Linked DNA regions of Lonchura striata. The main gene of each other region encodes a partner of the protein of the gene in region 3 in a complex. Links are inferred from orthologs where the notes say so. Each region holds a gene or a part of one and is shown on either strand. Other genes may lie near its edges. The genes, in order: CPLX1, SV2A and SYT1.

Region 1 (10,876 bases), on a different chromosome or scaffold from region 3:
TTGTTGTATTATAGTCCTCACCATGGCTTGCAGAAGAATCTCAGCTCTGATGTTTGGAGCATCTCCTCCTCCCCCTCCCTCCTTTTCACTGACCTCAGTGTCGCCGCGTTGTTCTCCTCACATGTCTTCACCTTTCCCTTTCCTCTGCCTCGGGAGAGAATTGGTGTTGGTAGGTTTGCTTGTTCTCAAGTTCTATCGATAGAAAGGATCTTACAGGGTTTCACAGTGCTGAAAAGTTGATCCCATTGCAGAATTGCTCCTCATGCCCCTCACTGTCGGCCACAGGGTCCCCCCAGCAGCCACGCAGAGATGGCTGCATGGTCCTGGCTGCACTGGCGTGTCCCCGTGGGAGTGAGGGAGGTAGGATGGTTGGGACAGATGGAGATGGGAGATATTTGAAGTCAGGTTTTGGAACTTGTGGTTTATTGTAAAGGGTGTGTGTGTAGGAACCCTGTTTGGAGCTGCCAGCTGCAGCTCCAAGCAGGCCCGAAAGAGAGAGCTGAAAGAGTAATAGAGGGTAAAAGAGAGAAGTTTTTGTTATAATACAATAAATCTTCTTTTGAATGTTGAATATTTTAATTTTCACTAACTAATTTAGTATAAGATAGAAATCTTATAAGGAGCATTTACATTCAGCTTATATAAATCATTATATTACTATACTGTTACATTATATTACTATACTGTGTTACATTTTAAACCCTAAAAACTACTTTTTGGACCACTTTTGCTAAGTTAGTGGGGTCTGCTCTGACCCTTGGACTTGTCTGCAAGTGGAGGGTATTGTTTAATCAAAAGGGGATTACCTTTAATTTGCTATACTATGGTTTTCTAGTTGTTCAGTAACTAAGGCTTGGTATCTCAAAGCTTGCTTTCATTTCAGTCTTGCTTATAGTTTCTATATCCTCAAAATCTTTTGCTAAGCAATCATATTTATAAGGCTTTCCTATTTAATTTTCCCCAGCATGGCCTCCTATTGGCTGCCTCCCCACCCCTAGGAAGAAGAAGAAGGAGAGTATACACGTGTTTTTTTTTCCTACTTAAAGTGTCATCACAGAGGTGTTACCAACTTTTTTAATTGTAAAGAACAGCTAGCAACATGTCCATTTTCAGAGCCTTTTGGTATTTGCTCTCCTAGACATAGTAGAAGCTTTAAGCAGATGTTTGTTTTTCTCAAATGTTGCCTCTGTGGCTTTTCCCACTCCCACTAAATATCAGGCTGCGTTAAACTAACACAAGTACACATTCACCTCATGCTTAATGAAAAGTTTAAAATATTAAACAATTACATTTTTTGTTATAGCTTAGGGATTGACATATTGCTTTTGAGGTGAAGGCATCCCTTCCAAAATGAGCTCAGAACTTGAGGCTACTCTTTTAACACAGGAGAAGAACTACAGGCCATAGCATCTGACACCAAGCTATCATTTCAGCCAAGCATAATACTTCCCTCTGATAATTTTGTTTTCCAAGACATAGAGTAATAAAAGAAGGCGAGGCAAAGAATTAATTACCTGGGAAAACAGAAATTCTGTTGTAAAGTGTGTTTGACCTTTTGAATCTTGCTTGCACTTTAAATTGCAACAAAGAGGAAAAGTATGGCATCTTTTTCCCCTCTCCATTGACAGAAGAATTCTGAAACAAATCCAATTTACTCTGCTATGATTTTGTTTATTTTTCATACACACATGTATGGCTTGAAGCAAAGAGTCAAGGCAAAGTGATTTGGTCATGGAAAAGGTGCAGCACTTTTGATACCTCAAAGTAGAATGTTTCAACAGCATCAAATATATAGCAGTAATTTTTTTTACCTTCTTTGCTTCTAAACTCCTGTACAAGCTGACAGATTCCAGAATGCTCTGGTTTGGATGACTTATTCACTGGTGGAAAAATTCTTGCCAAAAGTACTTGAAATAATAATCTTATGACAAAAACTTGATACACTTTGGATAGAGGCATCTTTATTTAATCACTGCAGTGATAAAGATGGATTCTTGGCTTTATGGACAACTTCTGTCTGCCAAGGAAGCCTTGTAATCTACAGCTGTAAATCCTGGAGATAAGAGGTACAGGATTTACCTGATCATGCCTATCCACAGGAATCAGAGTCCTGCTGAGAAGGGATTCTCAATAAGTCTGGCAAGGCAAAAACTTCTCCAGAGAGAAGGAAACAAAGAAAGGAATGAGATAGAGGGACTAGGGGAGTAGAAAAGGTAGAAAACAAACAAGAAGTTGTCAGCTTAAGAGCTAGAGGCTATAAATGGCAGCCTACCAAGGGTCCTATTCATAAAATAGACTGGGGCATCTGTGTTCATTAAAATAAAAAAGAAAAAAATTTTAAATTATATGGTTTGCACTCTTGTGTTCACATGTCATTAAGACAGAACAATCAATATGTGTCTGTTTCAGTTTTTCTGAGGGTGGGCAGCTAAAATTTGGTCTTGTGATAGCTGAAACAAATGCTCAACTAGAGAGTTCACCTTCAAGAAATCTCAAGGGACCAGAACTTCAGAGCTATTAGAAATGGCTGTAAAATCCTTTTATAATTTTTCCCTGCTTTAGGGAAACATACACTTCTTAAAAAGAATGTTATTTTTTTTTAAATTGGTTAGAAAATAAAAACCTTAAAGCCTGCTGTAAGTTGAATGTAACAAGAAAAAAAGCAGTACTTTTGAAGAGGTAAAAAATGCTTGAATTCTGAAATGTTTTGGCAGTCAGAATTGACAGTTGAAGAGAAAATGAAACAAACAGTAGATTTGTCTCAGTAGATGTGTTCAGCGAACTAAACCACTGAAGGATTTGCAACTGTTGTACACAAACTACCTTTAGCAAGTATTGACTCCTCTGTCTCAGTAGCTGTGTTGATAAAAAGCTAATCACCCTGCTCCTGTGCAGGTCTTGCCAGCAGCCTACTGAACAGCACAGCAGTTCCAATAGTGAGAGCTAATAAAAGATAGGGGGGAAAAAAGAAAAAGAAACTAAGTATGTTCATTTCGGGCGGCTGCTTAATTACTTTCTATAACATTTACACTTTGTTTGTGAGCTTTCTTATTAGTATCATTTTCACATGGCATTGGTTTCAGTTTAGTAGTCAAACACCATATGGAAATGAATAATCAAACACTGCGTTTTAAGATGTTGAAATGAAACATCCTGACTAATTTAATTTTTTTCTGTCTGAAAACAGACCCTTCCTTCTTTTTAGAGATACAAATATAAATTTTTCTATGGAAAATGTCACCAAACTCAATTATTGGCTTATTCCACTTCTTACACAGATTCCCAGCTGGTGGCCAAGGAAGGAATCTCAGTTCCATGCACAAAACTCCATGGAGGAGATCTTTGCTCAGTGTTCTGCACTCTTCATCTGCACCGAGCAAGGTCACAATGTGGATTCCTACTGTTCTGGTTCTGCAAGCAAGAACAAGCCTATTCCTACCATCAGGAGCAGGCATTTGTCAGCTACACAGTGCAATCCAGACTAAGAACTGGCTTTGGTGTTTGGAGAAGTTTCGGAGCTGTCAGGGCGGCTGTTCTCTGTCCATGGTGCTGGGATAGATCCCACTCACAGACCGCAGGCTCCATCCCTCACTCTGGTGAGAAAACGCTGCTGTTCCTGGGATTTGTTACTATCCAGTAGATCTTATAAAATTGCATTACTGCCAGATTCATACACATAAATTTTTATGAACCTAGGATATTGGTACATGCCATCAGAAAGAAGATGCATGTGACATTGCTCATATCATTACCATGGCTGCAGGAGCTATTATTTCTTGTGTATCAGACATCATGTATGGCAGGTAAATCACCTAGCAGATCCCCACGAGACTGTCTTTCCAGCTGGGTTTCTTGGAAAATTGAGGAAAGGCTCTGCCTCGGAGGTAAAAGCCTTCTCAAGAAGTCTTCCTAAGACTATGAATAGATGCAGATCATAGATTACATCATCTCTTTTGACTGTGTGCTTTCTTGCCTCTGTGCCTGATCCTCATGTGGTGAAGAGTGTACTGGTAGGAACTTTCTTGACCGAATAGTCAGAGTATCACCTGGACGGGAGGTACCCAAATCAGGCTCACAAATGATTGGATTTTCATCTGTACATCCTGTGGGTGGTACAAGGAATCTGGCACTTGAGGCAGGGTAGAGATACTGAAGTTAGGACTTAGAGTATCTCACTGGAGTTCGTGATTTCATGATGATGTGCCTTGGTCTCCTGAAGAGGAGGGAACTGTGAGGTAGTCAGTGTTAAGAGCTCAGTATCATGATTTTCTGTGTCAGCTGTGTAATCTGGAAAATGTGGGTGCAGTTTGGAAACAGAACCATAGGTACATGACCCTTGGAGAGTGGGCTGTCTCTGGAAACAGACCAGCCAGTCTAAACAGGTCAACAAGAAGCTCAGGGATCTTTCAGGGACTTCTGGATGTCCCTATTGTTTTGTCTGGCTTCTGAAATCCCTGTGGATGACGTCACTCTTCTCTGCACAGAGGGGAGGACAATTGCTGTTGCAAAGTTTGTAAGGAACCTATGAACAGGAACAATGACATTTCTCAGCAGCCCCACTTGGTTATGCTGACCCTTGACTGCTGCAGGAGTTCCTTGATGTAGCATGGTCCAGGATTCTCAAAATAGGAAGAAGAAAGCTGATTTTAGGCAACTGGGTGTTCTATCAGCTCACACTTTTCTGATCCTTCTGTTTGAAGGTATTTAATTGCTCCTTCCCAGACTCTGGGACACAAGAGCAAGGTGTGCGTATGGAGGTTTGCTAGTCTGGGATGGGGATGCTGTCCTTTCTCTAGGAGCAATCATATGATGAAAAAGGAATGTGAGGTGTGATATGACAGACCCAAACTATAAACCCTGCTCAAAGGCATATAGACACTTGGGGAGGCACCACAGATCTGGAAACACTGTGTTAATAGCATAGAAACCCAGGCACACAGCTCCAGCAGGCTCCCAGGTTCATTTCTTGAGCACAGTAATCTGTGCTGACAAACTCCTGTGTTATGTATGAAAAAACATAAAAAATACTGCATTATGCCTTTTGAATGGTGAGTTCAGGTATAAAACACTCACTCTTGTTCAGGTATAAAACACTCACTCTGGGGGTGAATTAAGGTATAAAACAAGAGGCTTTTCCACCCTGTCTTTTTCCTCCCTGAAACTTGTTAGAAAAAGTGCAGCACTGCTTACCCGGGTGACTTTCTTGGACTAACATTAGTGTCAGCTGCAAAAGTGGTTTTCTGGGAGGCTATAGAATAGAACAAAACAGTTCAGGGGAAGGGGACCTAAAGAGACAATCTAGCCCAATTGACTCGATCACTTCAGGATGAAGTGGTGTTATAAAGGGCATTATCCAAATGCCTTTGAAGCACTGACAGGCATGGGGCACTGAGGCAGACCCAGGTGGTAGACACGGCTCTGAGTGTAGAGATATGCACTCCTGCATCTGCGGCTGGCATCTGAAAGCTTTGCAGACTGCGGAGCCCCGATGGCTGCCTGTTCAGAGCTCGCCTGTTCTGGCTCCGCACGCCTTTCCGCGGGGCCAGGTGCGGGCCCGGCGTCCTTCCTGACCTTCAGACGATGTCGCCCACGGGCCGTGCCAGAATCTCCCCGGGAGGCGCCGCTGCTCCCCATCCCCGAGCTCCCCGTGTGCCGGCAGCATCCCGCTCTAGCCCCCTCCTTCCTTTTAGACCCATATATTACTCTGGGGGTTGCTGTCCCACCTCTCCTGCTGGCGACAAGAGGGCGGATCAGCAGCAGAACTCGTCTCCTCCCCATCCAGCGCCAAGCCGGCTGTCAGCATCCCTAAAGGTGGGCGCCGGTGCTCTGGAGTGGATATTGCTCTGCTTTGCCACATAGCGCTCGCACAGCTCCTTCCTCCTCACCTCCAGATGCCGTCCCGAATCCGGGCTGGACAACGGGTCGCTGCACTGGCGTCCTTCAGCGGCAGTCGCAGGGAGACAGACGACTTTCCTCTTTCCCCCCATCCCGTCCCTCCCCCCGGCCTCGCCCCCCCAACCTGGATAGCGAGAGCACAGAGACAAGCAGCCGGCGATTCTTCTCCGGCCGCAGTTAATTCGAGGCGAAGCAAGAGGGAGGAGAAAGTCTGCTCCCTCCCTTGTCTTCTTCCTTGCCTCTCCAACTCGTTCCAGGACCTAGGGAATGAGAGGGGATCTGGGGGAAGGACTCAGAACAGAGGATGCAGAACGCTCTCCCACACCCTCCCCCTTTTTGCAGGAAGCCGTGTTTGCAGAGATTTCCCCTGGCACACACAGACACTGACTCCCGAGGAGAGGCAAGGAAACCAATTGCAAAATGCTACAGCGGGCTGACAGCGGCCCCTCCTTCCCCCCACGGCACAGCACAAGGACACCTGGCTGCCGGGGACAGCAGGGATGGGGCGGGGGACAACTCGCAGACACTCGCACCCCTCCGCGGGTCGGGGAGCGCTGCCGGCATCCTCGGCACCGAGGGGCGAGGGCGGCGCAGGGAAGGGGCGGGGGAGCCGGAGGCAGGGGGAGGGAGAGAGTCCAACGCCCGCAACGAGGGGAGGAGGAAGGAGGGACCGTGTCGGTGGGATGGTCCGGAAATGCTGTGATAAAAAGAGGGGCGCGGGGGAAAAAAAGTAGGGAGAAGCTGTGGACTCATTCCTTCTCCCCCACTCCGCGCCCGCAACTTCCCCGGCGAGCCTCGGGCACACGGGCGCCGGCGGAGCCCGGGGGAGAGGAGGGAGAGGAGAGGCAGCCCCGGCACCTGCCGCAGCCCCTGCCCGGCCCGGCCCGGCCCGTCTCAGCACGCCGAGCGAGGTACCGGCGCCGGGGCGGGCGGGCCGTGCCGAGCCGGGAAGGGCAGGGAGGAGAGGCGGGGTGCGGGCGCACGGAGACGGGGACAGCTCTTGTCCCTCCAGGTGTCTGTGAGCCGATGCTGAACTCGGGCGGGGGGTGGGATGAAGGAGCTGTGCAGCACCTGAGGCTGGTCTCAACCTTGAGCCGTCCCGGCTCACCCTGAGGAGGTGCAGCCCTCGCCGGCGTTGCGCTGGGGGCTTTCCGAAGGGGGACTTTCCATCCCGCTAGCCGGACTGCATCCGCATCCCGATCGCCCAGCATCCCCCGCTTGTTCTCCCGGGCACTTGCAGGGCGCTTCACCTTCAAATGCCCCCTCGGCGGTCCCGGGCGGACCTGCCACCTCGGAGCAAACCGAGAGGGCGAGAAGCTAGGCGGGGAAAACGGGAAAGTTCAAAGGTTTAACTCCTTCCTGCCCGTCTGCAAGGAAAAAAGCCATGAAGGGGGACCGCATTGCTCCTCCGCACTCCTCCCGGGCGCTTGCCCAGGCTGGGGGAGCCGTCGTGTACCCCTGAGTCCTCCCAGCCGCTGACATGCAGCTCTGCTCCTTGGGGTGCCCGTGCAAAGCAGGGTCTGAAAGGATGGAGGGCTGGAAACTTGTTTGCACTCAGACAAAGGGAGGAAGACTGTGGGAAGAGAGCTGAGGAATATCAGGCATTATAGAGACACTATTCCTGTTTTAATTGTGCCTCTTTGCAGGCTGCCTTCCAAGGATTTCCAGTCTCTGTGCATGTGAGGTGTGAAGGTGGGCAGGACCCCAAGTGACAAATCATGGATTTTGTTATGAAACAAGCTCTAGGAGGTAAGTGTGATTGGCAAACAAGGGGCCTTGAATCCCTCCTACCCCTCCCCTTTCCACTCAGAAAGAGAGGAGATGGTCTACTATAGTAGGGACTGCACCTGGAATAGCTTATTGAGGACTTGGAAGAGCATGCCTGTCACTGATTAATGATCCCGGAGTGGAGTATTTGGAGAATCTGAGCAGGAGAGGGCAGCAACAAGCAGAGACCAAAGCCCCATGTCAGAGAAGAGACCTCCCACACAGGGTGTGCGGGCCCTGGGTCATGCCTAATTGGCACCTCACCACCTGGATGCACATCCTGCTGTGCAGCGCAAGCCTTGATTTGCTTCATGCCATGACACTGAGGCAGATATTATAAAGGACAAAGACTGGTTTAGGCAGAGTAAGCCCAAAGAAAGAGTGACATTTTGTCTATGTGTGTAAACCTTCTTTCATCTTTGGCCCAAAGACCAGCCAAATCCTGAACAAAAAATGCCCAGTGCAGAAATTTCTGTCTCTGATATTTTGATAGTTGTTTTTGGTAAGGACACTGCCACAATAAGGATGGAAATGATAATAAATTATTCCTACACACTTTACCTGGATTTAAGGCAAATCTTCTGTGGGTTTCTGTATATTAGTTTACGTGTATGAGGAATTATTTTAACCTAACGGTGTGAAATACAAAAGTTAGGGATGCGTGTAGGCAAAATTGAAAACACTGAATAAATATTTGGGAATGAGGTTCCTTTTTTCTGCCACAGTTACTTTCTAGACTGCTTGACCTGGACATTTGGTCTGAGCATCCCTGAGGTGATGCTGGATGCTGTTGGGAACTGAAATATTTGCCTCAGAGGAAGCTGATAATTCTCTTTTGTACTCTATTTCTTGTGTGCATTTTTCATTATTTTTGCTTTGAAGAAACTGTAGAATCATGGGGCTGTGTAAATGTTTAATGTGTGGTGATATTGATGTCATATACAACTTCAACATTTACTGCAGGACTCTATCCCATGGTGTGGAAATAATGTTTTCATCTCTGAAAGTGGTGGGTGTTTTTCACCAGAGGAGCAAAATTTTCACAGTTTAGAACAGAGGAAGCAACCAAAGTTTTAGTTGGGGTATTTTGAATAGGGAGATAAAACTGGAGAAGAAAGGGATGAATTTGTTTTGCATGAAACAGTGAGGTATGAGGACATCTGCGTGAGAAGGTAGCGGTTTGTGTGGCAGCAGCACTGTGCTTCATTTCACTCTTCAGTGCCTGTTTTGAAGGAGAATTAGTGTTAAGATGTGCAGACTTTGCACTGTTTGCTGTAGTGCAAGGTTGCTTGCACAGAATTGAACTAATGTACCTGCAAACTGGAGATACAGCAACTACAGCTGGAGATCCATAAATCCAGTGAAGGGACATAAATGCTCACAGACTGCAGCTAAAGGTGGGGGGAGGAGGGCTGCAGCAAAGGAATAACATCTACCATGGCTGCTTTTTTCTGCAGCTTTGTGACTTAACATGAGTTGGAAGCAGTGTCTGCCCGTGCTTAACAACATTCACCCTGGGCAGACCTCCTTCATTCTGACAAGATGTTGCATGCCAAGGTCAGGATTTGTATGGTAATAGGACTTTCTGAGAAGGTAAATTCAAAAAGCATCTTTTTGTGAAGTCTGAGCTTCTGATGTCAGTCAAGATGCTGTCCAGGGCACCAGCTCTTCTGCCAGATGACTTAATGTGTCTGGAACTTACCCACTTACTCAATAAAGGAGAAGTCTCTGCAGAGTGGTAAAATCCAGGAAATGCTAATTCATTAAGCAGAGTCCTATTTTTAAATTACAAATAGTTTCAACAAGATAAAACAAGATCTCCCATTGCAAATCTAATATGGAAAGTAAAGTGGTTTTGGACACTGGTTTCTCCCTGGAGTTAAAGCCCAAGCTGATGCAAATCATCCAGGCTGGCCAGACTGGCACAGCAAACCAAGGACTAAAGGATATAGTTTGCTTCCTTAGTTTTGGGTCCAGAACCCTTTATTTCTGCCAGTTCTGATATCCAAAGGGAGATTTACTTAAGAGCTGGACTCAGTGATCCTTCTGGGTCCCTTCCAACTCAGACTAATCTGTGAATTGTGTCCACAAGGATGGTCAAACTGAGCAGACCACCAAACCTCTAGTCAATAGGCTTGCTTTGGGTAGGGCACGTGGTCTGATCTGCTAGTGACTATTTTTATTATCCTCACTTTTTGGGAGGTCCTTGGGTGGATTTCATGGCTCTTTGATTTTAGTTTAATATGGTTTTTCCCAGAACACATCTAAATTCATTATTCTGCTTGATAGGATTTTTTAAATTGTGCAGAAGTTCTTATACTATTCTCATAAGCTCTTATGGATTCCTGGAAGAAAGAAAAAAATACTGCAGTTTTGTCATTAAGGTCTCCTCTAATTTACAAAAAATCAGACTTGCTATAGATTCTGCTTGCCAAATACCTACAGCTAAGGTAGCTTAACCCTTCAGCTATGTCAGATGGTGAAAATTCACAAGGGCTGAGGGCCAGTTGGATGTCCTTGACAGAGCATAAGGGGTATGTCATTTTCGTAATATATTTTTTCTTCCCAGCCTACAGCCCTAAATTTAAGCTTAGGCCAGATCTTATTATAACTAAGAGCCTGGATTTGAAAACTATTTGCAGGTGGTTGCTTTTGATCTTTCCCTGCTGTACAGGACTATGCAGGTCTCTGAAGCAGTGGAGGAGTTAGGAGCCAGGTTTTGTCATAGGGAGTGGTCAAATAAGGTACTGATAGAAAAATATCATTCTCCTACCTCCTACCACCTTATTGAGGTCTCACTCTCTGCTAATTAACAGTAGAACTAACCTTATGCTTCTGTGGGAGTTTTGCCATTGCCTTTGAAGAAAACTTTGAAGACATTAGCCTTGCCTATAATGGCACAGAATGATCACATTTGCTTTTCCTTGGAGTTTTGCCCATAGGGGAAGAAGGCAATGAGTTGTTTTGAAAGGTAGGTGAGCTAAGTTAGCAAGTTAGCAGCCAAGGAAAGGCAGTTATGTGGTGACAAGTTGCTTTGTTTGAAAGTTTGATGAGGGTATTTTGCGTTTGTGAAATCAGTTTGACAGGTATTGTTGAGGTAGAATGTGTCTTTTCCCTGGCTCGTTGTTAAAGAGGGTGTGCAGAAGTCTTTCTGTGCAGTGGAAGGTCATCCTCTGCTGTGCCAGCACAGGGATTTTGCTGCTGTGTTGACAGC
Region 2 (10,205 bases), on a different chromosome or scaffold from region 3:
CCTCCACCTCTCCTTTCCTCCCACTTCCTGCTGGACCTCTCAAACAATTCAAACGTCAGCGAGTTATTGAATTTCTGGGTCAGAACTAATTAGCTGACCGGTCCCTTTAAGTGTGGCATCCAGTAATTTTTTTGATAATTATCAAAATACTGGAGTTTAATCTGAGCGGGGGTTATGATTGTTGAAGGATCTGGGGAATTCAGGAGGTTGTTGCTGTCTGGGAGGCACCAGTTTTCCTTGAGTTGGGAAGGTGCAGGGACAGGGGAAGGAAGGAAGGAAGGCAGAGATGCAGAGAAGGAAGGCAGGAGCTGATTTTGGCATTAATAATTGAATGAAACCACTTTTTCCCCTGGTTTCCCCACTGTTTTGGCCCTGTGCTCCTGGGAAGGAGCTGTGTCTGCATCTCAGCTCTGTGTTCAAAAGCACAGATTTTGTGAAATGTGCAGTTTAATGATTCTCTGGGATTTGTTTTGATCTCGTAGCTCCAGAGCCACCCTAATTAGGGAGCTTTGTGTGATCCTGCTCTGGCCACGCCAGGAACAGATGCTGCAGGGCCTGAGCAGAGCCAATTACACCTGGCCAGGGAAAACCAGGCTCAGGAAGAAAGAGTCATTGGTTTATTTGGTGTTTTGGTGTTTAAATGGGTAAAAATGGGAGGAAAGGGGAGAAAATCAGGGCTGACAGTGGACTGCAAGGTGGAATGGGATAAAAACAGGGATAAAATGGGATCACTGGGAGAAAGGAAGTTTGGGGGGACCCTGGCTGCCCCAGTTGGAGCAGGGCAGCCTCCCACAGTTGTCCAAATTCTCCAGGGATGGGAATTCCTCACTGTGCCAGGGCTTCACACACTTCTCTTTTCCCACCCACTTGCATCCAAACCCTTTCCTCTTGCTTTAAACTCCGTGTTCCTTTCTCTTTAACCCCCTTTTTGGCAGCAGAAGCCCCCCTGCACTCACGATTTCCAGACCCAGCTGGAATTTTGAATCCTGGGGGGGCTTCCTGCCACCCCTAACTCCATCATCCCCCTAGGAATGCCACCCATGCAGGTGCACCACGGGCCACCTGGCATGGGGCAGCACCACCCAGGACCACCCGGCTCTGGGGGGCAGCCGCCCCCCCGGCCCCCCCCGGGCATGCCACACCCCGGACCCCCCCCCATGGGGCTCCCCCCACGGGGGCCACATTTCGGATCTCCAATGGGTGAGTGGGGTCTGTTTTTGGGGGGCTCTGCTCTGGGGGAGGAGGAGGGGATGAAGCAAGACCTGGGGGACCTGGCACCCCCCCAACTCTGGGGTCTTCACAGGGTGACCCCGCAGACCCCCCCCCGTGGGGATATCCACAGCTTTGGGATGGTTCTGGGGGTCCGTTGTGGGGGTCTTGGGAGCAATTCCTGGTTTTGGAGGAGCGTTTGCCAAGCTGGGGCTGGAGGGGGGCACCTGCTGGTTGTGGCACCCGTAGGTGGGGTGGGCACCTCCAGGGAAGTTTGGGGGTGGCTTTGGGCTGGTGGGCCGTGTTCCTGCAGCGGGTTTGGGGGGGCTCTGTCCTTTCCCCCTGGCACTGACCCCCCCTGTCCCCCACAGGTCACCCCGGGCCGCTGCCGCACCACGGGCTCCGCGGGCCCCCCCCGCTGATGCCACCCCACGGCTACAACGGGCCCCCCCGGCCCCCCCCCTACGGCTACCAGAGGGTCCCACTGCCCCCCCGGCCGGCGCAGAGACCCCCTGGAGTGCCCCCCCGCGGGCCCCTGCGGGGACCCCTGCCCTGAGAGCTGGGGGGCTCTCTGCTCCCCGTCCTCCCACGGCCCCTGCCACCAACATTCCCATCCCTGCAAAGGGCTGGGGGCCACCCCCCACTCCTCCCTTCCCTCCCCATTTTTTCCCCCGGTTTATTTTTATTGTGTTAATTTTTCTCCCTCTCTCCCCATCTCCTCCCGTTTGTCTTCCCCTGGAAGCTTTTCCAAGCTCCTTTTTATTGGATTTTGTTGGTTTTGTATGGAAAGCAGTGACCACCCACTTGAAAATAAAGGATTTGGGGAACCAGAAGAGTTTCTGGATTGGGGATGAGGCTCTGCTGAGATCTCTTCCCTGCTTGGGCCTTTGGGAAGAACCAGGCTGGAGGGATTTGGGACAGAGCTGATCCATGGTCTGATTCCTGCTCTCTTCAGCTGCTCCAGGAAATGTTTGGATTCCCGTTCTTGAGCTGCCCAAATCCAGGTTTGACTGTGGAATATTTTGGTGCCAATGTTTAGACAAAGTCAAACATTCCCCAGGGAAATCTTCAAGAGGCTTGGAGTCCACAAACCCCTTCTGCTGCCCCTGGGCAGTGCCAGAGCCTCCAGGAGCTGGGAGTTTGTGGGGGGACATGGAAGTGGGAATTTGCTGCTTGCTTCCTTCTTCATCCCACTGTTGTCTTCTTACAGCCAGGTGGGTCTGGATGGGATAGGAAGGGAAGGTTGGAACCCACTCCTGACCCTTCACATCCAGAAACGTGGGGAGAACCCCACAAGGATTGGTCGAGGGAGTGGATTTAGGTGTAAGGGGTGGGATTGTGTGGGGACAGGGGTTCCCTGTGGTGCTGAGAGCCAAGGGGCTGAAGAGATCTCCAGTATCCAGAGAATCCTGGGTGGGTGAGCCCCAGGGTGGCATTTCCCTGCTCCTCACTCATGGAAGCCACCAGGATCCCCCTGGAGCAGCAAATCTCCCTGCATGGACACAATCATCATCCCCTTTTCCCCTGGGGGTATCCAATGTCACCCCCACTTTTATCCCATCGTCCCTGGTGTTATCCTGTCATTCCCAGTTACATCCCACCTCCCCTTTCCTCCCATTTTATCCCTGTTTTTATCCCATCCCACCTTGCAGTCCACTGCCAGCCCAAATTTTCTCCCCTTTCCTCCCATTTTATCCCTGTTTTTATCCCATCCCACCTTGCAGTCCACTGCCAGCCCCGATTTTCTCCCCTTTCCTCCCATTTTATCCCTGTTTTTATCCCATCCCACCTTGCAGTCCACTGCCAGCCCCGATTTTCTCCCCTTTCCTCCCATTTTATCCCTGTTTTTATCCCATCCCACCTTGCAGTCCACTGCCAGCCCCGATTTTCTCCCCTTTCCTCCCATTTTATCCCCGTTTTTATCCCGTCCCACCTTGCAGTCCACTGCCAGCCCCGATTTTCTCCCCTTTCCTCCCATTTTATCCCTGTTTTTATCCCATCCCACCTTGCAGTCCACTGCCAGCCCCGATTTTCTCCCCTTTCCTCCCATTTTATCCCTGTTTTTATCCCATCCCACCTTGCAGTCCACTGCCAGCCCCGATTTTCTCCCCTTTCCTCCCATTTTATCCCCGTTTTTATCCCATCCCACCTTGCAGTCCACTGCCAGCCCCGATTTTCTCCCATTTTTCCCCGTTTTTATCCCGTCCCACCTTGCAGTCCACTGTCAGCCCTGATTTTCTCCCCTTTCCTCCCGTTTTTACCCATTTTTATCCCATTCCCCTCAGCTCTTTCCCACTCCGTGTTTCTCTGTCCTGCTGCCAAGCCTGTTCCTTCTGATGAGCCACAAAAAATCCCCCGGGGCCGAGCAGAGCTCCGCGGTGACAGTGGCACATGAGTCACCGGGTGCCTGGGGATGTGGCACTCCTTGTCACCATTTCCCAGGGATGCTCCTCCACTCCTGCATTTCCATCCCTCTTTTAGTTTATTTATTTATTTTTTTTCTTCTCCACAATCGGTTCTCAGCTCCTGGATTTGTAAATCCTTCCCAGTGCAGACTGGTCCCCATCCCTGTTTTCCAGTCTGAAGGGCGAAGCGACGGATCCTGACTGTGAGGTTTTGGGGTTGACACCCTGGAAGCTGGGACGGGGTCAGCTCAAGGCAGGGGATGCAGGAGGATTGGGGTTCAGGGAAGATTTGGGATCTGGGAATGTTGGGATGCAGGATAAAAGGGCTTTGGGAATATTGGAATGCCAGGGAAGGGGTTCAGGGAAGATTTGGGATCTGGGAATTTTGGGATGATGCAGGATGGAGGGACCCTGGGCACTTTGGAATGCCAGGGAAGGGGTTCAGGGAAGATTTGGGATCTGGGAATTTTGGGATGCAGGATGGAGGGGTTCTGAGAATATTGGAATGCCAGGGAAGGGGTTCAGGGAAGATTTGGGATCTGGGAATGTTGGGATGCAGGATGGAGGGGTTCTGGGAACATTGGAATGCCAGGGAAGGGGTTCAGGGAAGATTTGGGCTCTGGGAATTTTGGGATGCAGGATGGAGGGGTTCTGGGAATATTGGAATGCCAGGGAAGGGGTTCAGGGAAGATTTGGGATCTGGGAATTTTGGGATGCAGGATGGAGGGGTTCTGGGAATATTGGAATGCCAGGGAAGGGGTTCAGGGAAGATTTGGGCTCTGGGAATTTTGGGATGCCAGGGAAGATTTGGGCTCTGGGAATGATTCAGGATAAAGGGGCTCTGGGAACATTGGAATGCCAGGAAAGGGGTTCAGTCAAGATTTGGGATCTGGGAATTTTGGGATGCAGGATGGAGGGATTCTGGGAATATTGGAATGCCAGGGAAGGGGTTCAGGGAAGATTTGAGGCTTTGGGAATGTTGGGATGCAGGATGGAGAGGCTCTGGGAATATTGGGATGCCTGGGAAGGGGTTCAGGGAAGATCTTGCTCGTGGGGGCACCCCAAACCCTGCTCGCTGTGCAGGGCCCCCCACTCTGAGCTCAGCCAGTCCCAGGAGCACCCAGCACCCACAGCCCCGGGATATGGGGCTGGACATCTGTGGGTCCCAATTTCCCACCCTCGGGAAGCCATCCACGGGAAATGGGGGTGGGTTCGGACATCCCACGCTGCAACGTGCATTTCCAGCTGTAACCCCAACACCCCCCCCAAAAAAAAAAAGTAAAAAATTCATCGGGGGCTTTTGTGTCGTGTTGTAGCCTAGGGGCCGAGCCTGGCCAGCCGATTTGATCCCAAAAAATCCCAATCCAGCCCCGCGGAGGCCGTGACTCAGCCGTGGCGGGGGCGGGCGGGCTGAGCTGCTCCGCGGGATCCGGGGGGGCCCTGCCTCACGCCCCCCGTCCCACCCGCCGCCCCCCGCCGCCCGCAGCCTCCGGAGCGGCTCCATCCCGGCGGCTCCGTGCCGGGAGCCCCGAGCCCGCGGGAACTCCGCTCGCTCATCCCGGCAGCTCCATCGCCCCCTCCCCGCTGGGCCGAGCCCCCCGCCCCCGCCGAGCCCCCCCCGGTTCTCGGCGTGCCGTGGTTGATCCCTCCCTTCCCGGTGCTGCGCCGATGGACTCTCCCAGCGCTCCCGGTGCGCGGCGGAGGCTGCGGCGGTAGCGCTGGTACCCGGGAGCTGCCGGCGCGCCGTTTCGCTGCCGGAGCATCCTCTTTCCGTTATCCCTTCCCGAGCATCCTTCCTCGCCGGAGCATCCCCCTCGCCGGCGCCGGGAAGGAGCTGGAGCGCGGCGAGGGCTGAGCCAGGTAAGCAGGAACAAAACGGGTTTATAGCCCGCATCCCCCCTCCCCGCGGCGTTAATCGGCGTCCTCGGAGCCGCTGATGGATTCGGGGTTCGTTTTCCTACTTGCTGTGGCCATTTTGTCCTGGAAAACCTTCTCCAGAGCCCAGCTCTGCCTTTGGATGTGCGTTTTTGGGGGCTCCTCTCATCCCCCCCCGTGCCTGTGGCCGCAGAGCAGCCGGAGGGGATCGGGAATTCGCCGCAAGGACGGGAAGGGGGAACCGGGGGGGGTTTTTGGGGAAGGGGTAGCAGGGGGAGATGTTGGGGGGTGACCTTGGACACGAGCGATTCCCAACTCTTCCCCCTTGTCGCCATGTTCCTGGCGTTCCTGGCGTTCCGCAGGGAGGCTGGGGGGGTTTTGGGGGGGGATGCAGCCCCCCAGTGTGGGACTCCCGGGGGTTTTGGGGTGCACGGTTGCATCCATCCTCGGCTGCGCTTGGATGCGTGGCAGGAGGAGACGGATCCAGACCCGATAACCTTGTGCAGAGCTGTCCAACGCCACGACGGGGCTGCAGGGCCAGCGGCGTGTTCAGCCCCCAGATGGGCATTTTTTGGGGGGACCCCCCTGGCTCCCGCATTTCAGGGACTGTGCTCTGTGGGATTTCTGGCTCTCCTGTGGGATCCGACCCCTGATCTCAGGCAGCTCTGGCTCCTGGCGTCGGCTCGGCCGCTCCGGGCTGCCCGGTTTGTACGGCCGCTCTCTGTCACCGAGCCAGCCGTGACCTTGCTCCCCGGCCCATCCTCTTCCTCACCGTGCACCCAGCCTCTCCCTGCTCCCCCATTCCTCCTCCCGGCCCCCCAATACCTCCTGCTCTGTGCAATGCCAGCCCCACACGGGGATGTTCCAAAGGGAACCGCAAGCCTGGCTGGAGCAAAATGACCTTGGTCATGGATCAGGAGCTTCACAGGCCCACGGGACCCCCGGGGAGGGGATTTGGGGTCTGCCCGCAGCCAGAGGGGAGGACATGGGGGGGAATTTGCCATTTTATCCTGTAAAACCTGCCTCTGCTCGGGAATTGGGACCCGTGCTTGCCGCAGCCCCCCTCTCTGCAGGGTTTCCGAAGGGCTAAATTTAGCGTCCCTGCGTGCCCTGTCCCCTCGCTGGGCAGGGGGGGGACACGTCGCCGGCTGCGTCCCTCTGCCCGCAGCTCCTTCTAAAAATAGCATTTTTTGGGGAGGGGGAGGTGGGGAGGGTCACGACGGCCCCTGAGGGTGGAGCAGCAGCATCGGGCTGGGGGGCTCCATCCCTGTCACGAGCTGAGCCGGGCTCTGTGCAGTGGGTGTGGGGACGCTGGGGTGTGGGATGCTGGCATGTGAGGGGACAAGGAGATGCCACCCCCAGGGATTCTTCTCCCCCCAGGGGACTCGTGGTACCCCCAACCCCCTTTGGCTGGGTCGGTGCTGGTGTCTCCCGCAGTAAATCCTGCAGTGAGCGTGGCCTGGCACGCACGGGTCACTGTCACTCGAGGGACCCCCCAAGGGGCTCCTGTACCTTGAGCCACCCAGCCAGGGCAGTGCTGGGAGGGACCTCCATGCCCTCAGGGGCTGACCTCCCTCATCCTCCCTGTGGTGCCCAAGGAAATGGGGAGCTTCGGTCCAGACGTGCTGATGGCCTTGTTTTTTTGGGGTGACTTGCAGCCCTGGGGATGCTCAGGGGCAGCCGTGTCCCTGATGTCCCCCCCAGCTCCCCCTGTGCTTTGGGATGAACGCAGAAGGGATGGATCCAGGGGGACTGGGGGGTCCCAGTGAGCTGGGGCAGCTGGAATCCCCCCGGTGAGGGGACGGGGGCTGGTATGGAGCCAGCGTCTCTCAGCCCGTCCCCAGTCCAGCCCCCTCCTGCCGCTTCACCGGGGGGGGGTCCCCAAATCCTCCTGTTTCCATCCGAGACGGAGAAAAAGCGCGAGGTGGCACGCAGGGCTGCTACCACCCAAGCTCAGCCTGGTTTTGTCTGGGCTCCCCAGGTCCAGGCTGGCATCCAGGGTCCTCCCACAGCCCGTTCCACGGATGGGTAGCTCCATCACCCCTCTCCCCTCACCCCGGGCCTGAGGGCGCAGCCCCCGACGCAGAGACCACCCCCCGTCCACCCGCAGCGCCCCGTGCCAGCCCAAGGGCACCATGGACGAGTCGTTCCGGGACCGGACCGCGTTCATCCGCGGCGCCAAGGACATCGCCAAGGAGGTGAAGAAGCACGCGGCCAAGAAGGTGAGCCGGGGCATGGACCGAGTGCAGGACGAGTACACCCGGCGCTCCTACTCCCGCTTCGAGGAGGAGGAGGATGACGAAGACTACGCGCCCCAGGACGGCTACTACCGAGGGGGCGAGGGGGCCAACGAGGAGGAGGGGGTGTCCAGCGACGCCACGGAAGGCCACGACGAGGAGGACGAGATCTACGAGGGCGAGTACCAAGGGATCCCCCGGCAGGAGTCGCTGAAAGGGGGGGAGCGCCTGGGGGCCGCGGCGGCCGCCGGCGCTTTCGACGACGGCGAGGGGCAGCGGAGGAAGGACCGGGAGGAGCTGGCGCAGCAGTACGAGCTGATCCTGCAGGAGTGCGGCCACGGCCGCTTCCAGTGGACCCTCTACTTTGTCCTGGGCCTGGCCCTCATGGCTGACGGCGTTGAGGTCTTTGTGGTGGGCTTCGTCCTGCCCAGCGCCGAGAAGGACATGTGCCTCTCCGACTCCAACAAGGGCATGCTGGGTGAGGAGAGGGGCACGGGGGGCAGGCAGGGGGATGTGGGAGCGGTGGGTAGGGGGGTCAGAGGGGCAGGGTGGCACGGAGGGGCACTGGGAGGTGTGGGGAGGTGTGGGGATACGGAGAGATGTGTGGAATGTAGGGGGACATGAGGACATGTTGGGGGGGCAGAGGAACACGGGAGGGTGGGGACACGGAGCTGGGGATGGGGGAGGACGTGGGGGGCTTGGGGAGATGTTGGGGGGTCATAAGGGCTGTGGAAGAACACAGGGAGAATTGGGAGGCCGTGGGATGTGGGGTCCAGGAAGGGATGTGGGGGCAAGGAGGGGTGAAGGACACCCTGGTGAGGGCTCCCACCATCCTCCTCCCAGTCCTACACTGGTCCCCACATGAGCAATGGTGAGGGGAGCGAGCTCAGAAACTTGGGCTGACTAGTGGATGCTGAGAGTGGGTTTGGGGGGCTGTGGGGGGCTTTGTCCTGTTGCTTTCCCCCTTCTCTGTGATGCCTGCCAGAGCCTGACAACCCCCCCAAATCCCAGGGGACATCAGTGCCCCCCATCCCTGAGATTTGGCAACCTTGGGACAGGGGGAGGGGCTGGCTGTGGGGGTCCTGGGGGTACCTCTGCCCCCCCAGTCCCTGAGCGGAGCAGGGGGACAACGCGGGATCCTGTCCCTTCCTTCAAGGGGACGCAGCGTTTTGGGGAGGGGGTCCCTGCCCGCTGCCCTCCCCCAGTGCCGAGGATGCTCTCCCTCCTCCGGGTGACTCGGGGTGCAGGTCCCTGTGTCCCCCAGGACTGACCTCGCTGCGTGTCCCCCTCGCCAGGCCTCATCGTGTACCTGGGCATGATGGTGGGCGCGTTCGTGTGGGGCGGGCTGGCCGACCGGCTGGGCCGAAGGCAGTGCCTCCTCATCTCCCTCTCCGTCAACAGCGTCTTCGCCTTCTTCTCCTCCTTCGTCCAGGGCTACGGCACCTTCCTCTTCTGCCGCCTGCTCTCGGGCGTGGGGTAAGGGGGGCCCGGCCGCGCGGGGACCCCCGGAGCAGGGGGTGGCACCGTGGGGCGTGGGGCGGGGGGGTGATGCCGCTCCCTCCCCTCCGTCCCCAGCATCGGCGGCTCCATCCCCATCGTCTTCTCCTACTTCTCGGAGTTCCTGGCGCAGGAGAAGCGCGGGGAGCACCTGAGCTGGCTCTGCATGTTCTGGATGATCGGGGGCATCTACGCCTCCGCTATGGCCTGGGCCATCATCCCCCACTACGGTAGGAGCCCTGGGCTGGTGGCACGTGTGGTGTGCTCCGGGGCTCGGCCCCACCGCCGTGTCCTGTCCCTGTCCAGGCTGGAGCTTCCAGATGGGCTCCGCGTACCAATTCCACAGCTGGAGGGTCTTCGTCCTCGTCTGCGCCTTCCCCTCGGTCTTCGCCATCGGGGCGCTCACCACCATGCCGGAGAGCCCACGCTTCTACCTTGAGGTGGGGTCTGGGGGGGCCGTGGGGGGAATCTGGGGTGCAGCAGGGTCCTGGAGTGGGGGTCCCCTCGAGGAAGGGACGCCCGGGTAGGGGTGGAGATGGGACAACACAGACAGGGGGTGGTGAGGTCTGGACAGGAAGCCCCAGGTGGGTTTTGGAGAGGGGTGGGAGTGGGCAGGAACCCCCAAGTGGGTGATGGGACCCCCCCAGAGGGATGATGAGGTGATGAAGGTGGTGATGAAGATGGTGGAGGGATGAAGACGGTGGAGGGATCCCCGGCTGGGTGGCAGAACCCAGGTGGGTGGTGGAACCCAGACTGCTGATGGGGGGTCAGGGTCCAGCTCCGGGGTGTCCCAGGGTGACTTTTTGCTGCCCTCACAGAACGGGAAGCACGACGAGGCCTGGATGGTGCTGAAGCAGGTCCATGACACCAACATGAGGGCCAAGGGCCACCCTGAGAGGGTCTTCTCGGTAAGGACCCCCCAGAGCTCAGCCCTGGGGTCCCCTGGGTGTCCTCCAGGCACAGGGGTGCAATTCCCACCTCC
Region 3 (10,296 bases):
GTTTGCAGAAGAGACATTACTATTGACCTTATCATCTTAACAACACAGTTGGAGAACTCTATTTCCTTCTAATTTATACTCACAAAATTTGAAGGCTATGGCATATGCTATAGAAAAAAGTAATACGGCAAACAAAACAATTCTTTTAGTTTGTAAACAAAATGATGTTTCTGACAGAATTGCCAGAGTAAATGCTATCTTACCACATTGTATGCTGGCTAAGATATTGCTATGAAGAAAGCAAAATTCAGAAATATTTTCTACGAATTATATTAATGAAGCATAATTTTAAGTTCATTTATCTATGTGGTTTGCAAGCTTTTAAGTCTAATAAAAGTCTAGACACCAGAATTTACAGTGACTGCCTTATTGTAAGAGAAGTAAATACATTTTTTAAACACACAGAATACTACAAAATAATGATTACTGTAAAAGAATAATACACTTTCTTGATTTGGCATTTTAAATTCAAATACTAAGGTAATTTTACTTTGAATGAAATGACAGTGTGAGCTAAATGAAAACAAACTCCCTTGAGAATTATTTATCATGCTACTAATATTCAGAAGTATTTTCTGAAATTTAAAATACGTTAATTAGGTCTTTAGTAACTCTATCCCATTTTTAATTCACCTGGAAGTTTTTGGCCTACTCTGCATAGTTGGATGGTAGAACTTACCATGCTTTATGGCTGGGCTGGCTTCCTGGGGCCGTATGTCTGCTGCAAAGTGAAGGTTTCATGGACATCTCAAATTAGAGACATGAAATCTAGGAAGCCTGAAACCTTAAGATTTTATCTCTGTTTCAGTGTTATAGTCTGATACTTATATTATTTACTCTCACTCCACTCTCAGGGTGGTGTAAACATAAGCATATTTTGCATTTAAAAGTCAATTTGTTTGAGTCTCTCCATACAGAATTATGCTTAATTTGTATTGGAGACATGGAATGTGCTCTCTTATGTGCATTGTGATAGTCAATTCATACTGATTTGAAAAAACATTGTTTAAGTCTCAGCCCTCTCCTCAGAGGTAACACTGACTGCCATTACACAGATCTTCCACCTGTTTTGCAAGGTCACTCCTAAAAATTAAATTAGAAATGACATTTTGCATTCTTTTATTACACAGTCATCCATGATGCATACAGTAACTGTGGATTAGAAATTTTACATTGAGTAAGCCATAAGGTAAGAAGATTGATAATATCTGGGTGTTCTGGAAGCTAAGAGTTCAGTAGTTTGTCATTTTACATAGTAGATTGTGCCTGAAAAGGAAACTGGGACTTCAGCTCATCTTAGCTTAACTGAAAAGTATTTTTTTCTGGAGTGCCATCCTGAGCACCTCTTTGGTGAAAACTGACTTTCAAAGAGGGGAGGGGGATTAGGAATGCATATCTGACAACCCAAAAGAGAATCCCTGAACTAGGGGCACCATCTACAGGGGAACAGACTGACACTGACTCAGATCAGTTCATGCATTACATAGCTGACATCTGTGCAAAGCATATGCAAGTTGGTTTGGCTACACTTGAACACCCCCTCAGAGTACTTCTGTTTTCATTTTCATTTCTGCTGCCATAGTGTCCAGGAGCCCTGGGCACAAAGCAGGAGCTCTCAGTGTCAGCTGCTATACAAATGCAGACTAAAGGAGATCATCTCTGCCTAATCAACTTAGAAGCAGCAGCAGATGTGTACAGATCAAACAGAAGAAAACAATGAAATCAGATGACAAACTGAGACAAATATCAGTGAATGGACTAACAAGTTCTTTGATTTTACCCTTTGATTTTTAGCTATAATTAAAACCACAAACCCACAACATTTATTCTCCACTCTCTCTACCTAAATGGTAATCATATACATTGTTAGAAAAATAATCTTCAAAGATGATTTGCTTAATGTAACACTTCCATTAGTTGTGTATAGTTGAATAGTTACTCCAGTATTTATTAATTTTACTGAAGGTTAATTGTCACTTTAGGGACATAGCTTTCTTTCTCTGCTTTCATGTCTTTCATTCTAAGTGCATCATCACCACTCAGTAGGTATTATGTAAACTTTACTGAAACCAAGAGTGTGACAACAGAACACCAAAATGGGATTCCAAGTGTTTAATTCTCAGCTATACAGACCAGCCCTTGTATACCCAGTAAACTGGAAAAAACATCAAAACAATAAATAGCCATTAATATGTTAAAAGAAATTTCAGAAACACATTCTTAAACTACTGCAATAAGAGCCTATTTTTAAAAGCTGTTCCATTTCCCTAAGCAAAACCCAATTCCTTTATCTTCCCATAAAAGTACTTCTCTAAAAACTAACTTGATGATGGAAAAGACCAAATCAAAGCACAAAACAGAAGTAAATGACATTATAATGAAGAACAAAATAAAATAATTTTTCTGTTAAAGACAAGGATCTGTAACCTTGTGACACAGAAAGCCAGTTCAGTTAGTTTACAGATCTACCTGGTAAGTAAATTAACATGCTACCAGTTTTATTTACTTATTTATCTGCCAGTGATTTGCTCTCATTATTTACCTGACTTCCCATCTTGTACATCTATTTGTGGCAGTTGTGATACTTGGTCACACAAAGTGTGACCTACAAAAGGAAAAAAGTCAAAGACCTGATTGCTTTTTTGATGTGTAACAACTCCTGTTGCTCCTGAATTAGCCTCAGTTCAGTGACTGCCATTCTAGTATCTGCTCTTCGTATGCCATAGAACTTGCCAGGATAGGCCCAAGAATACTGGTTTCATTTGCTTTGGCCCAGGCTTCCTCCCTCTTTATGGATCAAGCAGGAGTCTTTCATTTTCCAAATCTAATTTTTATGGCTCATATTGCTTTCTAATCTTGAAGTCACAATATACAGAAAGTGAAAAATAAAAATAACAAACAAGGAATCATTTCTGCTCTTGCTTTTTATTCAAAATTTTGCCTGATTCTCCTGTACCTTTGTCTCAGTCTAAGTCTAAAACAAAAACAGAACATATGAAGAATATAATGGAGCCTAGCTCTCCATTTTTATGTAGCAAGATACCTGATGGAACTTCTGAATGGCTGACAGTAATTAAAATTATCTTCTGATGCACTAAAACACATAAAAAAAATTAAAATGCCAAAGAAAGCAACAAAATAGGGTTTACAATAGAATTTCTTCTGGATTTGCATGTTTCTTCTTTTTTCTCATAATAGGATCCTTTCTTCTTCCCTAAACACAACCATGGAAGAGTTAATAATAACAAATACAGTCATGTATGTTTCATGATTTTAGAGGCTAGCATTTGGCTAGCACTCCAAGCATTCATCAAATGGCTCCTGAGCTCTTCTAGAGCATCTTTGTCCATTCAGGATATGTATGTCATTCCTTAAGCCTCACAGCTTCCTTTGGTATAATTAACATAATGACTGGATACTAACTACCCATTTCCTTGAAAATGCAGTAGTGAAATAAAAATTGCAGGACTGAAAACCACTTTCTGTATGAATTAACCTTTGAACTTGAAAGAAACTGAAGGAAGCAACTTTTCAGCAATTCTTTCATTGCAAACAACCAAGCTCAGAAAATAATAGGCAAAAACTCTCCCAGCCACTTCGACAGCTGGTTTAAGTTTTTTGTTTGGTTGGTTTTTGTTTTTGTTTGGATTTTTGTTTTTGTTTTTTGAGGTTTTTTAAACATAGCAGAACAATTATGTATGGGCTACCCCAGTCAGAGAGTGCAAAAGTGATGGTATACTCTTCAGGACTACTACTAGATAGCATTTCTGTTCCTTGCTATCTGTACATTAAGGAAGGGCCATTGGGCTTCAGTGATGTTTCTTGTCTTTGCTCAAATACTAAGACAGCATATGATGTGTCATGCCTTGTGAATGTCAGACTCCCACAGACTTCTGGCTGTGTGGCTGTTAGGAACTCAGCATCAAGTCCTCATAATTACTAGCACTGAAATGTGTGGGTTTTTTAACTGACCAGATAAATGTTCCTGGAGAAAATAATCCTTGGTATCTCTTGTATTGGTACAGAGAAAACAGCAATCCTTTTAAATCGTACAGGGTAATCTGAACACAAGTGACACTTCTGCATATGCAGTTTAAATTATGGTTGTTCCTCCTTTCCATAGCTCAGTAAAAGCTTTACAATGTAATTTCTTTTGCATTTGCTTTCCTTCTCTCCTCTCATGGTCTAATGTGCCCATACAAGAAAAACTGATATTCTGACATAACAGACCTAAGAAAAAATGCGGTCAGAAAAACTGAACTGGAAAAGGGCTGTGAATTTTAGAGTCAAATCCAAACATGAAAGTATGGATGGGGAATGGCAGAATACAGTTCTATTGAAAGCACAATAAGTCACCTATGAGATGTGCCTGGGGGCCGTGTGACTTTCTCAGTTACCTGCTGACGATGGCATACGGGCTGGTCTCTTTGCCAACATCTGCTATCTATATTAAGATGTACTTTAGGTACTTTTCACTCTCAGTGTAATAACAGAAACTGACTAAATGGTTGTGAAATATATTACTACTTTCTTAAGTTTTCTTAGAACAACTGTAATCCAGCAGGATCATATACAGTAGCACATCAAACCTGAGCTACAACCTGTATGTTCAGTACCCTGTAACCAATTAAAGGTTAGGGGAAACACATACAGAAATACCACCCTGTTGTGTTTACAATTTTGCAGGTAAAATTGTTTTCCTCCTCTTTGAGGAATATTGCTTGTTATCCTCTTTGAGGGTATAAATGCAGCAGTAATATATGCTGAGGAACAAAGAACTTTAGTCTGTTGTGTTTTTAAAAGCTAAGCTTACATCTAAATCTATTTCCATTTCCCTCTGGAACCTGAGCAACTTTTTATGTTATATTAAACATCAGACAAATAGGATAGATCTAATTAAAAGTTGAAGAAATGTGCTTCCCTTAATTGAATTTGTTACAGTTACATTTTGCAGACCAGTGTTAATCAAAGCTCCAGTTCAGAGTGGATGGATCAAGGGAATTAGGTTAACCCTTGCACGTCCTTACCTGAACACGCGATACAGTCTGCTCTCGCCTAAGCCACAGAAGCCAATTACGACTCACCCCGCTGGGTCGCGACTGCCCGGGGCGGCGGCAGAGAGGGGGCTGCGCGCCGCAGGCTCGCTAACAGTACCAACTACGCCTGCCGGGGGTCGCCGCCGCCCCGCGACCTACGGGCGAGGGGCACTGCCGCGCCTCGCCCGGGGCACCCGGCTCGCCCGACGGCCGCGGGGCTTGCGGTACAGCGCGTCGTGCCGGCCAGCGGCAGCCCCGCGGCCGCCCGGGGATGCCAGCCTCGCCCGCCGCGCGCGGGGATACCCTCCTCATCCTCCCTATCCTCATCCTTCTCCTCCGCCCGCGGCCGCCCGGCCCCGCCCGACGGGGCGGACGGGGACCCGCGGCCGCGGGATGGGCGAGGCCGGCGCGGCGGCTCCACCCTCGGTGGGCGCCGGGCGATTGGCCGCGGAGCGCGTCTCCCCGCCCCGCAGCCAATGAGGGCGGCGGGCCGGGGGTGATGGGCTGCCTCTCGCGGGAGGGATTCCTGGAGACGCTGCAGTGTGGCGGCGCTCCCGGCGCCGCGCAGCCCCCGTGCCGCCTCCGCCGCCCCGCCTGCCTCGCCTTGCCCTGCCCGCCGGCGGCCGCCACCGCCGCTGAAACTTAACGCCCGGCGCGCCGCCTGCCCGCCGAGCGCAGGGGGCTGGGGCAGCCTGCCTGCCGTGCCGGGGGCGGTCCGCCCGCGCCCCGCCGCGCACCGCAGCCTCGCCCCGGGAGCTGCCGCCGCGGGGAGAGGCTGAAGGACGGAGCCGGCTGCGCCCGCCCCGGTTGCCAGGTAAGGCAGCGCCCCGGAGCTGCCCGCAGCCGCGCCCGGGCGGCGTCGCCGCGGGCGGGGGGGGCTGCCCGCTGCGCGGGCGGGGGGAGCGCACATGCTCCGGGGGCGGCTGTACCGCCGCCCGCCCGCCGGCTCTGCCCGCACTGCCGGGGGGCGGGGGCCCGCCCCCGGGGCGCTCCCGGCGGGGGTGGGGGCGTTTACGGGAGGGGCGACACAGACAAAGGGGACGCCCGCGCCCCCCCCCCGCCGCCCTCCTTGCTCTCCGCCCCCGCGGAGCTCCGCCGTCGCCCCCCGCCCCGGCTGCAGGAGAGGGGAGCCGTCCGCTCCGCATCCCTCCATCCCTCCGCACCGCTGCCCGGAGCCGGCGCCGAGGCGGCCGCCGGGCCAACTTGTTTCTCCGGGTGTCGCCTGGCCGCTGCCCCCGCCGTGCCCCCGCCCTCGGCAGGGTGCTCTGTCCCGACGGCCGCCCCGGCGGAGGGCGGTGGGGCGCGGCGGTGCGCCCCGCCCCCGGTGCTGGTCTCCCCTCCGGACCGCAGGACAACAGCTAATCGTTTATGTATCAATTCACGAAAACCTTTCCGTCATTACTTAGAAAGGCTGTCAGGCTAATGTGTTTTCTTTCCGTGCAATTTCATTTTCCTTCATGCCGAGTACCACTTGCCCTGCTCTGGTTTGGGTACGTTCAGTTCTGGTTCCTAGGTGCACACGGTATGAGCTGGGGATCAGCGCTCTGTTTAAAAGTTAATTTTGCCTATTCAAACTCCACTAGGTACAGTAGTAAGAAAGTGACAAAGAATGTTCATGTTTCTTTTGTTTCTAGCCTTCTGAAATAAAGATATCAAACGACTACTAGCTTCTGGTAGTCAGTATAGTAAATAAATTAAATGTAGTCGTTGGAATGAGCTTTTATGGCACTTTCAACAATCTGTAATTCAATCATCTCTTATACAAGCTGCCTTTTGCTATTATTCATCAGACCCAGTTGAGTGATTTCTGTCAGATGGGAAGTGGTAGAGAGAAATCTCTAGGTAGATGTAACTGAAAAGCTTTCCAAGTAGAGTCCTAAATGAGCACAGAAAAGCACTTGGCCACAATCTCAAGACAGATGTTGGCATCCAAATAAATAATTTCTTTTGATTGTCTGGGGGATGTCAAGTTTTATTTTCCTTATTTAATAGCCATTTGCGTGTGAATAAGTAGTTCTGTCTTTATTACCTTGTAAACTCAATGCAAAATGTTGTAGTGCAATAATATTTCACTGTCTCTGAAACCATATTTTCTGTACAAAGGTCAGTGGAGTAGTTCCAGATACGCATACATGTTGTAGATGACAAGTAGACTCCTAATCTGCAGTGGTGATATTGATCCTCAGAGCTGCTGTGCAGTGTGCCATCCATGTTGCATGCTAATCTGTTACGCGCTGTTTAAATTGCTTTATTGTCCGGGAGAGTTACTTCATCCTAAGAAAAGGAAGAAGGTACTGGCAGACTCAAGGGGACTTTCCTTTCCCTGTTGAGTTGACATCTAGAGTTACAGATGGGCAGTTGGTTTAGGAGTGTCCCTGAAAAAGGGAGGGGGAAGCTTTTGGGTACAAAGACAAGTAGGCAGTGAATTAATTTGCTTTGTGAGGATATGAAATGACATCCCCTGCCATGCTTAAAAAAACCTGCTTGGAAAAAGCGTAAGGAGATTGCACATGTGTCTAGAATACTGTTTTCTTGTCTGTCTTGGAAACAAATGACCTGATTTTATGTCTTGAGACAAATATGTATCTCTTTTGGTTCCAAGCTTTTTGGGTTTTTAGTTCTATTAGTAGTGTTGAGGGAAATATACTTTAATGTGGTGAATTACTTGGCTTGTGGTATATTTGCTCAAAATTTGCATGCATACAATTCATAAATTGAAACTATATAGCTTTAAAACATAGTGTAGGCAGCTTGAGTGAGAAGAGATAATTTCAAAAAGAACCACAGGGCATAAGATAATGACATACTGTAGGAAATAATCATACTCCTGCACTTGCAAAAGCATGAAGTGTTCCCGTGTAGCCATTTCATACAAGCCAAATTTTCCTTCACATTAAGAGCGTCTAAGTGAGCCTTATTAATGTTTGATGTGAAAGATGCTAAATCCATTTTAAGGGTTGGTACTGGAATTTAAAGAGGTAGCTCACAGACTAACAGCAGTTCTAATACTTCCTTAAAACAAATGTGAAAAATAATCAGTTGCCATGTATGCCACAGCAGTACAAGTGGCATACAGCATTCAGTGTAACACTGATGGGCAAGAACCCCTTTAAAACCATATAGAACAGTGTTTAGCAATCTGAAATGATCTCCTACCTTAATCATAACAGATCAGATGTAAGAGATGACCAAGAAGATGCTCAGTGTTGGTTAGTGTAGTGAAGGTGTGAGTTAAGGGAAGGTTCTGTTTGTCAGAAACCTAGGGAAAAAAAAAAAATCTATATTCTTCCAGCTAGCATAGAGACACCGGAAACATAAAATCAATTTTTATGGTCTTTCGGCAGGGTTGGCTGTAATAAGTAAAAAGAAGGAGCAGCTTAGTGTCTTGGCAGAAGTTTTTAAGCCACTCATCTGTACAGAACTCAGTTAATTGATGTTTCCTCATATGAAAATGAAGCTCTTATTTAGCATCTTGTTGTCTTTTCCTGTCCATTCAGTAGTCTGGTTACAATTTAAAAAAATATTTTTATGTAGTTTTATACTTGCATGCATGTTTGAACACACAGATAAACTCTACTAGGAGCTGCTTTCTGAATAAAGGGTGCATGCAACCTCATTACATGCTGTGGAAGAGACATTAAAGTTTGTGATAGGAATGAAAAGGACAAGAAAATATTTCTGCATATCTAGAAGAAAAGCATGGAGGAATTATAATGCATGGATACCATGATCTCCTTCCCTCTGCTGGAGATGCCTATATAAATATGCAATTTCACGAAGAGAAGTTCTTCATAGTTTGATTTTACTTGGATTCTCTATAGAATGTTTGTTTTAAACATAACTCTGTATCTAGGAAAAAAACTTAATTAGAAATACAGATAAGGGAACAAACTATCAATTTGTGCTTACTGCTGACATTTCCTAAAGATACTCGAGGTTAAAATAAAAGCATTTGCCAGACTAAGTAAACAAAGCATTAGGTTAACAAATATTTCCAGGATCGTTACGTACAAATGTCATCTTTGCTAGAGTAGGCTCTACTCTTCTTTCATACACCCCAGAAAAAGTGGGGGTGGTTTTACTGTTGCATCTTTTTACAGAAATACCAGACACCAAAGCAGACTTCATTAGGAGGAGGACACCTGACAAGGGTTTTTCATGATTTCTTCTGGTGATAGGCTAAGAGCAGGCTACAGGCAATCCCTTTCAGGGACTGCATAGATTAGCTGAGTGATTTGTGCAGCAGCATGTGGAAAAATTTTCGTTTAAATAAAAAAAGAAGTAAAAGTATTTACTAATACTATTTTTTTTTTCTTTGGGTCTTGTAATGACTGAAAGCAGGATGGGAACTATAATAAGAACGTCTCTTTAAGTACTACTTTTGACAAATGTCTAATCAGTATGTTTTAGAGGCTGGCTTTTCTCTTCTGTTGTTTTCCCCAGGTAGCTAAAGGAGGAGCACATGAATGGCTTATGAGAGAACTGACCATTTTTCTTAACCTGCTTTCTTATCACTGCCAGTCTTGAGGTATTTCCCTGAAACAGAAGGCACTGAACAGTTCTCCTTCTCCATACTAGAGGGAGTGGTGTTGCCATCTTCTAAATTCGCAGGGAATTGCAAACTCGGGATGCCAATTCTCTTTTCCAGATATCCCTAAATAGGCTCAGAAAAATCTATCAGAACATGAAATAAATCTGGAATGTTTCCTATGCAGTGTAGTTATCTCATATTCTATATTCTAATATTCATAATATCTTTTTAAATGGAGAAGATTTAACAAATTTTTAAACAATCATGAGAAATTATCCAAATAATTAATCATCTCTGAATTATTATAGTTATATACAGATTTCAGGAAAATAAAATTTTATTTAGGAGTGGCTAAATCTAATTTGGTTCTTTTAAAGATGCTGTCTGTAAGTTTCCTGGGCACTATTCAGGATCTATGGCCAAATGTATTGTGGTAGCTTTAATAATGTAGCCATTGATGTAATAACTAGATAGTACAGTGCCTCAAAGCTACTCAGTGATGATTTAAGGAATTGATTTAAGTGATTAAAAATCCACTTATAAGTTCTGTTTTGTACCTTTATCTTAAGGGTATTGTTTTTCTGTAATCGTATGGTTGAAAAATCAGTGTAGCAGTTGCAAATGGAAAAGCTGGTAACCATTTTTCAGTTTGGCTCAGAGACATGAGTTTACCCATGAACTCTCATGTCCATGTGTTTAAATAACCATGTAGATAGTGCAATTAAAAAT

What was found.
Region 1: the proteins of SYT1 (region 3) and CPLX1 are in contact, whole or in part, in a crystal structure (PDB 5W5C), measured with the Rattus norvegicus proteins. The link is inferred for Lonchura striata from reciprocal best matches to the Homo sapiens genes SYT1 and CPLX1. Residues at the interface, in NP_001028852.2 of Rattus norvegicus: Glu271, Thr383, Gly384, Glu386, Thr406, Leu407, Gln408, Glu412, Met416; in NP_074055.1 of Rattus norvegicus: Val61, Met62, Gly65, Asp68, Lys69, Tyr70, Lys74.
Region 2: the proteins of SYT1 (region 3) and SV2A are in contact, whole or in part, in a crystal structure (PDB 4V11), measured with the Homo sapiens proteins. The link is inferred for Lonchura striata from reciprocal best matches to the Homo sapiens genes SYT1 and SV2A. Residues at the interface, in NP_001129277.1 of Homo sapiens: Thr291, Lys314, Lys326, Lys327, Lys328, Glu342, Ser343, Phe344, Ser345; in NP_001315603.1 of Homo sapiens: Asp82, Thr84, Glu85, Gly86, His87, Asp88.

What each region holds. Positions count from the first base shown.
Region 1 is NC_134642.1:3,229,568-3,240,443, forward strand, and holds the start of CPLX1 (complexin-1), read left to right. Parts: upstream 1-6,549; 5' UTR 6,550-6,806; intron 6,807-7,541; 5' UTR 7,542-7,613; coding exon 7,614-7,644; intron 7,645-10,876. UniProt on the Homo sapiens protein: Positively regulates a late step in exocytosis of various cytoplasmic vesicles, such as synaptic vesicles and other secretory vesicles.
Region 2 is NC_134635.1:2,704,764-2,714,968, reverse strand, and holds the start of SV2A (synaptic vesicle glycoprotein 2A), read left to right. Parts: upstream 1-5,242; 5' UTR 5,243-5,474; intron 5,475-7,470; 5' UTR 7,471-7,624; coding exon 7,625-8,204; intron 8,205-9,021; coding exon 9,022-9,202; intron 9,203-9,301; coding exon 9,302-9,453; intron 9,454-9,529; coding exon 9,530-9,663; intron 9,664-10,041; coding exon 10,042-10,131; intron 10,132-10,205. Other genes in the region: SF3B4 (splicing factor 3B subunit 4), read left to right, coding at 1,030-1,200, 1,581-1,765. UniProt on the Homo sapiens protein: Plays a role in the control of regulated secretion in neural and endocrine cells, enhancing selectively low-frequency neurotransmission.
Region 3 is NC_134607.1:48,122,098-48,132,393, forward strand, and holds the start of SYT1 (synaptotagmin-1), read left to right. Parts: upstream 1-5,721; 5' UTR 5,722-5,850; intron 5,851-10,296. UniProt on the Homo sapiens protein: Calcium sensor that participates in triggering neurotransmitter release at the synapse. May have a regulatory role in the membrane interactions during trafficking of synaptic vesicles at the active zone of the synapse.